Struthio camelus: one gene and its partner. The protein of the gene in region 1 purifies or fractionates together with the protein of each later gene. This does not show direct contact. Links are inferred from orthologs where the notes say so. Each region holds a gene or a part of one and is shown in the gene's direction. Other genes may lie near its edges. The genes, in order: VCAM1 and MSN.

What was found.
Region 2: the proteins of VCAM1 (region 1) and MSN purify together in Homo sapiens (affinity purification with western blotting; 3 studies listed by BioGRID, with this or other methods). This does not show direct contact. The link is inferred for Struthio camelus from reciprocal best matches to the Homo sapiens genes VCAM1 and MSN.

Annotation. Positions count from the first base shown.
Region 1 is NC_090949.1:16,041,807-16,045,710, forward strand, and holds the start of VCAM1 (vascular cell adhesion protein 1), read left to right. Parts: upstream 1-1,323; 5' UTR 1,324-1,618; intron 1,619-3,904. Other genes in the region: GPR88 (G protein-coupled receptor 88), read left to right, coding at 124-1,191. UniProt on the Homo sapiens protein: Cell adhesion glycoprotein predominantly expressed on the surface of endothelial cells that plays an important role in immune surveillance and inflammation.
Region 2 is NC_090952.1:29,427,646-29,431,549, reverse strand, and holds the start of MSN (moesin), read left to right. Parts: upstream 1-1,452; 5' UTR 1,453-1,632; coding exon 1,633-1,644; intron 1,645-3,904. UniProt on the Homo sapiens protein: Ezrin-radixin-moesin (ERM) family protein that connects the actin cytoskeleton to the plasma membrane and thereby regulates the structure and function of specific domains of the cell cortex.

The DNA of each region.
Region 1 (3,904 bases):
TTAGAGGCTGTTGATTGCACCTTCTCCCTTGTGTTTGGTGGGGCACTTCTGCAGCAGGATCTTCTGACCCAGGTGAGGATGGGATTTATGGGGAGAAGTCAAAACTGAGCCGCATTCAGCGAGATGCCCAACGCCTCTTCCTGGAGCGCTAGCTCGCCACTGCTGCTGCTCTGGGAGGACTCCTCCGGGACCCGCATCTTCCTGTCGCTGCTCTATGCGGCATTAGCTATCTCAGGGACCTTATCCAATGTGGTGGTCATCTACTTGGTCTTCTCCTTCAAGAAGCTGCAGACGACCAGCAACGCCTTCATCGTGAACGGCTGCGCCGCCGACCTGAGCATCTGTGCCCTGTGGATGCCCCAGGAGGCCGTGCTGGGGCTGCTGCCTCCCAACTCCTCTTCCCTTCGCTCGGTGGAGTACCGGCTGCTCCGAGGGGGGCTCCTCGGCCTTGGCCTCACCGTCTCCCTAGCCTCTCACCTGCTGGTGGCCTTCAACAGGTACGTGCTCATCACCAAGCTGCCCAGCGTCTACCAGGCCCTCTACCAGCGGAGGCACACGGGCTGCATGATCGGGCTCTCCTGGGTGCTCGCGCTGCTCCTGCTCCCGCTGCTGCCCGGCCTCTGGGCCCCGGCCGCTGCCCAGCAGCCGCCTCCGGGCCGGCAGGCGGACGGCGGCCCCCGCTACACCGCCCTGCTGCTGGCCCTGGCCGTGCTCAGCCAGACGGCGCTGCTGCTCCACTGCTACCTCGGCATCGTGCGGCGGGTGCGGGGCAGCGCCAAGCGGGTCAGCGTCCTCAACTTCCACCTGCTGCACCAGCTGCCCTTCCCTGCTGCCCCGCCGCCGCCCCGCCGCGCCCAGCGCCGCCTCAGCACCGTCTCCGTCCTGCTGCTCTGCTGCGTCTTCCTGCTGGGCACGCAGCCCCTGGTGTGGGTGAGCCTGCTGGGCTTCTTCCTGCCGCCCGCGCCGCCGGCGCTGCAGGCCGCCAGCTGGCTGCTGCTCTGCTCCCTCTCGGCCCTCAACCCGCTGCTCTACACGTGGCGCAGCGAGGAGTTCCGCCGGGCGGCGCGCTCCGTGCTGCCCCGCGCCGAGGCCGCCGCCGCCCCGCGCCCCGCCGCCGCCAACGCCAACGCGCCGCCCTGCCCGCAGCTGCCGCGGCGGCGGGGGACGGCGGCCAGCGCCGCACCCCGCTGAAGGGCGCCCCGCGCGGGTCCCCGCCGCCCCGCCCCGCCCAGACGTGGTGGCTGCGGAGGCGCCCGGGTGGCGGCGCTCGCGGGCCGAGGCCGGGCGGGAGGCCGCGCCCGGCCCCGCCCCCGCCTCGGGCCCGCTCCCGCCTGAGGCGGCGCGAAATGGCGGGCGCTGCCTGGCCGCGGCGGTGCCCGCCGTCGGAGAGCCGAGGCTTCTCCCGCCACGCCCGGTTCCCCTCCCGACTGAAATCCCGCAGTCCTCCCTTCCCTCCAGTGTCTCTGCCGCGATAAACTTCTTGCCGCGGCTGCCTTTCCGGGCGCCGGGGAAGGCGAGGGCCGTCGGTGCTCGCTGCCTCTCGGCTCCTCCGCCCGCGCAGCAGCGCCCATCGGCGGGGACGAGCCCCAAGGCTGGACTGAGAAGTCTGGGATAACTGGTAAATACTGCAGCATACGTAACTGCTTTCATTTTAAAGATTTCAATACAAGATAGGCAGCTGAACATCTCTCTTGAGGCTTAGTGCAAGTTTGTCTTTATGTAATCTATGTGATTCTTTCAGTATCTCTTTAAAATGGGCTCCCTGAAACACAAGGTTCACTTGTGAACAACGGATGAATGTCATGCCACCAAAAAAAAAAAAGAACTCTCCAAACAAACAAAACCCACCAAGGAACTATTTCCTTTCCCCCTTCCTTTATCATCCCTGCACCCCATGCGAGACCCTCCTTGAGCTTTCCCCTGGCAAACTTCTGCGTGATGCCACCTGTGGAAACTGTTACAAACAAACAAAAAACCTACCCTTTTAGTAGTTTTTTTTTTTTTTGGAAAACTCTCTAAATGAAACACACTTTGACAAAGGCCTCTGTCTATGGCAATGAACTAAGTGAAAAATAATGCAATATGGAGACTAGAGTTCTCTATCTAACCTTATCTATTCAATTACCAGTTTATGGTGTTTCCATTAAATGCATTATTGTTAAAGTGGGATTTCACAGCCTCTGCTAAATATAAAACGACAGATTCTCTGTAGCATTTGGAAAGGCATCAACTCCTCCCACTCAGAGCGGTGAGGGAAGTGGAGCTGCTCCGTGGTGAGTACTGCAGCCTCAAGATTTCTTTCAGGAATGGACCTGAAATTCTTTGGTTTTTTCTTCATCACTTGGCTGCTTGCTTCCTCTTTTGTGACACAGCTGATGCTGTTTCCGTGGTGGTGGTGGTGGTGGTGGTGGTACTTAGCACTCTTTGCCTTTTGTTACAGAAGACTGGAAGACGCTAATCCCACCCTAAATTCACGGGCACTGCTCATTAAGGCGATCAGAGCAGTAACATCTAAATCACGTCTGCTTGAGAAGGAGAATAGGGATGTGGGAGCATAGGAATTTGTTGCGTTGGGTGACCAGAATTATTAAAAGTTAGCAGCTCTCCTGATGATATTTGAGTGGTAAGACAATAACAAGGAAGGAACAGACGTATCATCCTCCACAAGGAGTAAACCTTATAGTCATAGGGCTGTATTTTAAAATGTTCTATGCTTTGCTTACCTTACCTGAAGTGGGTAAAGTTTCAGCAGAAACTGCTTTAAGAGGAAAGGAAGATTTCCTCTTTTCCTTTTTCATTTTTTTTTCCTTGGCCTAAAGCCTGTTGCGCAGCTGTGATGTATTTGAAATCCCCATACCACTGTTTTATTTTTCTAAATAACAAGTCGCCGTCATCACAGAAAAAATGCTGCTTCAAGTCAGGATTAAACCAAGGCAAGAAGCTGAGGCTTCAAAATGAAAACAAGAAAACACGTTTTGGCACGGAGAAACAACAAGTGAAAACAGCTTTTTATTCACTTTCAAGGACCTGGGGAAAAGTAAGAGAAGTTTCCTAGAGTCTGAAGTTCATGGAGCTTTTACAATCAGGTGTACCACCTGAGTGGCAATATCAGAAAGATTAGGAGGCCTAGCAAGGTAACATGAACATAGAAGACTTGCAAGATTTATTTTATTAACACTGTGCACGTATCTTGGAGAGTGGAGGATCGTCGTTCTAATTGCACCTCCTAATCAGTGACTGTGCTTTTGTTAGCTTTGTGGTGCAAATGCAGAAGAGGAAGAGCTCTTCCAGCCACCCCATTCCAGTTCTGGAAAACATTCAGAATTACTGCCAAAATAAAGCTAAACTTGGGGACACCCAGGGTTAAGATCTCATTCTACTATGAAGTAATTTTTGGGCCGGAACCCACCAAAGGATGAGCATTACCACTTCTCATGTGTCTAAAGGAACTGAAGACGTTTGGCAACCACAGTACTTGGGCCCATAAGCAAAAGAACAAACACTTAAAATGATTAGACTAAGTAACTTATTTTTAGCTATGAAACATGTTAGTCAGGAATTAAAGCAATAACCTGTTTCAAACTCAATGTCTGAACAACAGATAACTGGAACTTCTGGATTTGGTCCCTTGCAGAAGAGCATGCAAGTTAAATCTTAAATGCCTGTATTTTATATAGAAAATATTTTAAATGCAAACATGTATAAAATTGCTATTGTGTATAAAACTTCAGTCAGCTATCCTTATGCTATGCATTAATTCCAGAGACCAGCTGGAAATCTTTTGGAAAGTTTGATACAATTACATCTGACTGTAAATTTTTGACTGTTTTAATATACTCAGGTGACTTTAAAATAGCATTACATAGAAAAGAATTTAATTTAAAGTAATTACGAAAGAATAATT
Region 2 (3,904 bases), on another chromosome or scaffold:
ATGTCAATTCCCAACATGCCTCAATTTAATACTAATCCCAGCAGAATCCTCTAATCAAATTAAAGAAAACAGTTTACTCAGCAGGAATCTGTGCTGAACTGCCTAGTAGATCTTGGCTTGCCCCTTTTCCATTTTATAGCTGGATTTATGTGTTTTCATGTTAACATAACCTTCATTTATTCACATTCAAGGAAGAAGTGGGTTATGAAGTCCAGCTAGTCTTGCATGGTCTTTCCATGAAGCAAGATGTCTTAAAGATCTGAAAATGTTTAGCAGATTTGGAAAAAAATGAAGTTCAAGAAAGATAAAAAAAAAGATAAGTTACTGCTTTCCTTAAAAACAGATACAGGTTGAATTTATTGAGATTTCATTTCCTTCTACTGCACACAATTTGTTAACTTTAAAAAGAATGGCATTTCTTCCTGGGAGAAAATAGGAATAGGGTCACTGTTTTAAAGTATGTTCAAAGTAGCAAATGAGATGAAATGCCTTTTTAAAGTCCCTGTGACCTTCATTCCCTACCAGAGGTTCCAAAACACAGATGGCACGAGAAGGTTTGGTGAGTGGTCTGCAGCTGGTCCTCAGAGCTTCTTAATCCATGAATTTGATTGCTCATTTATACCATGTAATTATGTTGGGAGCCTCTGAGAAGGTCTGAAGATTAAGGGTGGTTTGCCTGCCAAGTTTCAGGGAGCCAAAGCCCTTCTGTGTCTGCGATGCTTTTCAAACCCCTGAAACAGGATGCTAGGTTCTTTCTAGCCGAACAGGCACTGCAAACAGCGGGTAAATAAAAGCATGATCATCCAAGACCCCGTGTTCAGGAGATTATTGACTTACTTCACTGCTGAGCTGCACCCCAAGCGTGCATGATTCAGACTAAATGAAAGACAAAAAGATCTATCGCATGCCAGTGCTGTGGTCTTGTTTTTATGACTATGAAAATGTAATTTGAAAAGTGTAATAGTCTGTAAAACAACGTTATTTTTAAAAGAGTACTGTCAGCAAAGACCAAAAGTCTCGGTGACACCTGGGATGTAAGTAAACTTCAGAGTTCACGGCTTTCTCCTGTTTTTCGGGGAGCTAATTTTAGAAGCTGGGGAAGCCTGGCTACGAGGTGCCGCGAGGCAGCAACGGGGCAGCGGGCTCGGCCGCGCCCTGGGAGCGGGGCCGGGGAGAGGGCCGGGGGAGCGGGGCCGGGGGGGAGGGACGGGGGAGCGGGGCCGGGGAGAGGGACGGGGGGGAGGGCCGGGGAGAGGGCCGGGGGAGCGGGGCCGGGGGAGGGATGGGGGAGCGGGCCGGGGGAGCGGGGCCGGGGGGGAGGGCCGGGGAGAGGGCCGGGGGAGCGGGGCTGGGGAGAGGGCCGGGGGAGAGGGCCGGGGGGATGGACGGGGGGAGCGGGGCCGGGGGGAGGGCCGGGGGGAGGGCCGGGCCGAGCCGGGCGGGGCCGGGGGCTGCGCGGCTCCAGCGCGGGCGAAGGCGGCCGCCGCCCGGGGCGGGGTTTGGGGCGCGGGCGGAGCGGCGGGGCAGTCCGGTCCCGTCCCGTCCCGTCCCGTTAGACGGCAGCTCGCAGCGAGCCCCAGCGGCGTAGGAGGAGAGACCTGCCGTGCCCGCCGCGCCCAGCCCGCCGGGAAGATGCCGAAAACGGTGTGTGCGCCGAGCCCGGCCGCCGGCCCCGCCGCGGGGAGGCGGCTGCTGGCGGCGCCCGGGCCGGGGGGGCCCGGGGTGGCGGCGCCCGGGCCGGGGGGCTCGGGCGGGCCGTGCTGCGGCCGGAGGGGCCCGGGGTGGCGGCGCCGCGGCCGGGGAGGCTCGGGCGGGCGGGGGAGGCAGCGCCCCAGCTCCCCCCGCGCCGCCCCGCGGGCAGCACTTCCCGCCGGGGGGGCTCGGGAGGCGCCGGCGGGGCGCGGGGGGCCGGGAGAGGCGGCGGCGGGGGGGGGGGCTGCTCGGGCGAGCGGAGCGCGGGTCGGGCGGCGGCGGAGATGCGGCGGGCGGGGCGGGGCGCGGGGGCGAGCGGAGCGGAGCGGAGCGGCCTCCCTCCATCTTGTGCTGCCTTCTCGGCCGCTTCCTGGCGCGCCGCGATCCCCGGCGCCCGGCACAGCCCGGGGGGGGGGGGGGGCTCCCGTCGGGCGGGCGGGCGGCCGGGCCGGGCTGCGGCCCCGCTGCCCCCCGGGGGGGCTCCCGTCGGTCGGGCGGCCGGGCCGGGCCGGGCCGCGGCCCCGCTGCCCCCCGGGGGGGCTCCCGTCGGGCGGTCGGGCCGGGCCGGGCCGCGGCCCCGCTGCCCCCCGGGGGGGCTCCCGTCGGGCGGGCGGTCGGGCCGGGCCGGGCCGCGGCCCCGCTGCCCCCCGGGGGGGCTCCCGTCGGGCGGGCGGGCCGGGCCGGGCCGCGGCCCCGCTGCCCCCCGGGGGGGCTCCCGTCGGGCGGGCGGGCCGGGCCGGGCGGGTCCCTCTGCGGGTCCCTCTGCGCCGGGTCCCTCTGCGGCTGCCCGCCCTGCCCGGGGGGTGCTGACTAACGGTGCAGTTGTGCAACTCCCCTCCCGAAACTGCTTGTTCTCTCTAAAACGTCTTCTCTCTGCTTTATAAAGAGGTACTTTCTTCCCCCTGTCCCTGCATCACCAGTACCACCTTCTATCCTGCTTGCTTGTGTGCTCCTTGATGAGCTCTGATCTTAAGGAGGGGTTTTTAAAAGCATATTGGATAAAGCTTTCTAGGGCACAGTGGGAATTAATTAATTATATGGCTGCCTCTCGTGAGGTCTGTAAAGAACACAAGTTTGGGGTTTTCACAACTCATAATTAGTCTGTTTGAGTTGCTAGGGAGCCTTGTCCCAGCTTGACTCAAAGTATTTCTTGGCTGCAGAGATGTTGGTACTTCAGAAAGTCTTGTCAAGTCTGTACTTGACTCTCCCTTTTCTAGCAGGACTTTAGTGACTAATAGGGAGCATGGGTTTTTCCATTTTAATCTCTCCTGGTTGGAATCAAAAGAATTGGTCCTTGCCCTTCATTGGTAAAACAGGAAGGAGCAGGCTGGAAGGCTCTGGACATTTCCTCGCTAAGAATGGTCCAAAATGGCTTAAGAACATCTAACATGTAAACTATGAGTCTATAGTTTACATTTAACAGAAAATAATAATAATAAAAAGCCCTACAACTGGAAGCTGAAACAGAATCCACCCTGTTTTTTTTTTTTAACAAATAGTTTAATTTTATCACTTTACAATAGATAGTAAGTGCCTGCTTAACTGATTTCTGCTTGTCCTGCTGTCTTATATGCCAGCACTCTGAGACAATAGCTGGGTTCATGTGCATTCGTGTATGTGTGTGTATTTTAAAACATCGACATCCTAAAGGATATCAACCTCAAGTTACTCTTAAAGGTTAAGAAGACAATATTTTCTAAAGCTTTAAAAAAGGTAGTCTCTTCAGACATCACTAATGATTAGTGAACAGTTACCTCTTCCTAAAAAAGGCAAAAGTTCAGTAAAAAGAGTGGAAGTGGCTCAGATGAGGGGACTTCTGTGTAAACTGCTACTGAGACTTTTTAGTCAGTGAAGAGTACAGCTGTGATGAGTGACTTCTTTTAGTGTGAATCAACCAGAAAATGTTGACATATTGCAGAGAGCCATGGTGGGCAGGGTTCCCCTACTAACAGGCTGAGTCCAAGCGTTTTGACACTGTGTTACAAGGTACTCACTGTAGCCTCTGAATCTGGAGGCAACACCCTAGGCTGGATGCCTGTGTTCAGTCTACGGCTTTCTTGTTCTTACAGAGTAGTTCTGCTTTCAGTACTGGGGCAGATAAAGAAGTTGGAGTGCTTTACGCTAACACTATATATCATATGCTCTGGACCCTGCAGAAAGCTATTCAGATGTGTGTGTCTACTGGAGTACAGAGCTGCAGGCCTCCTGTTAT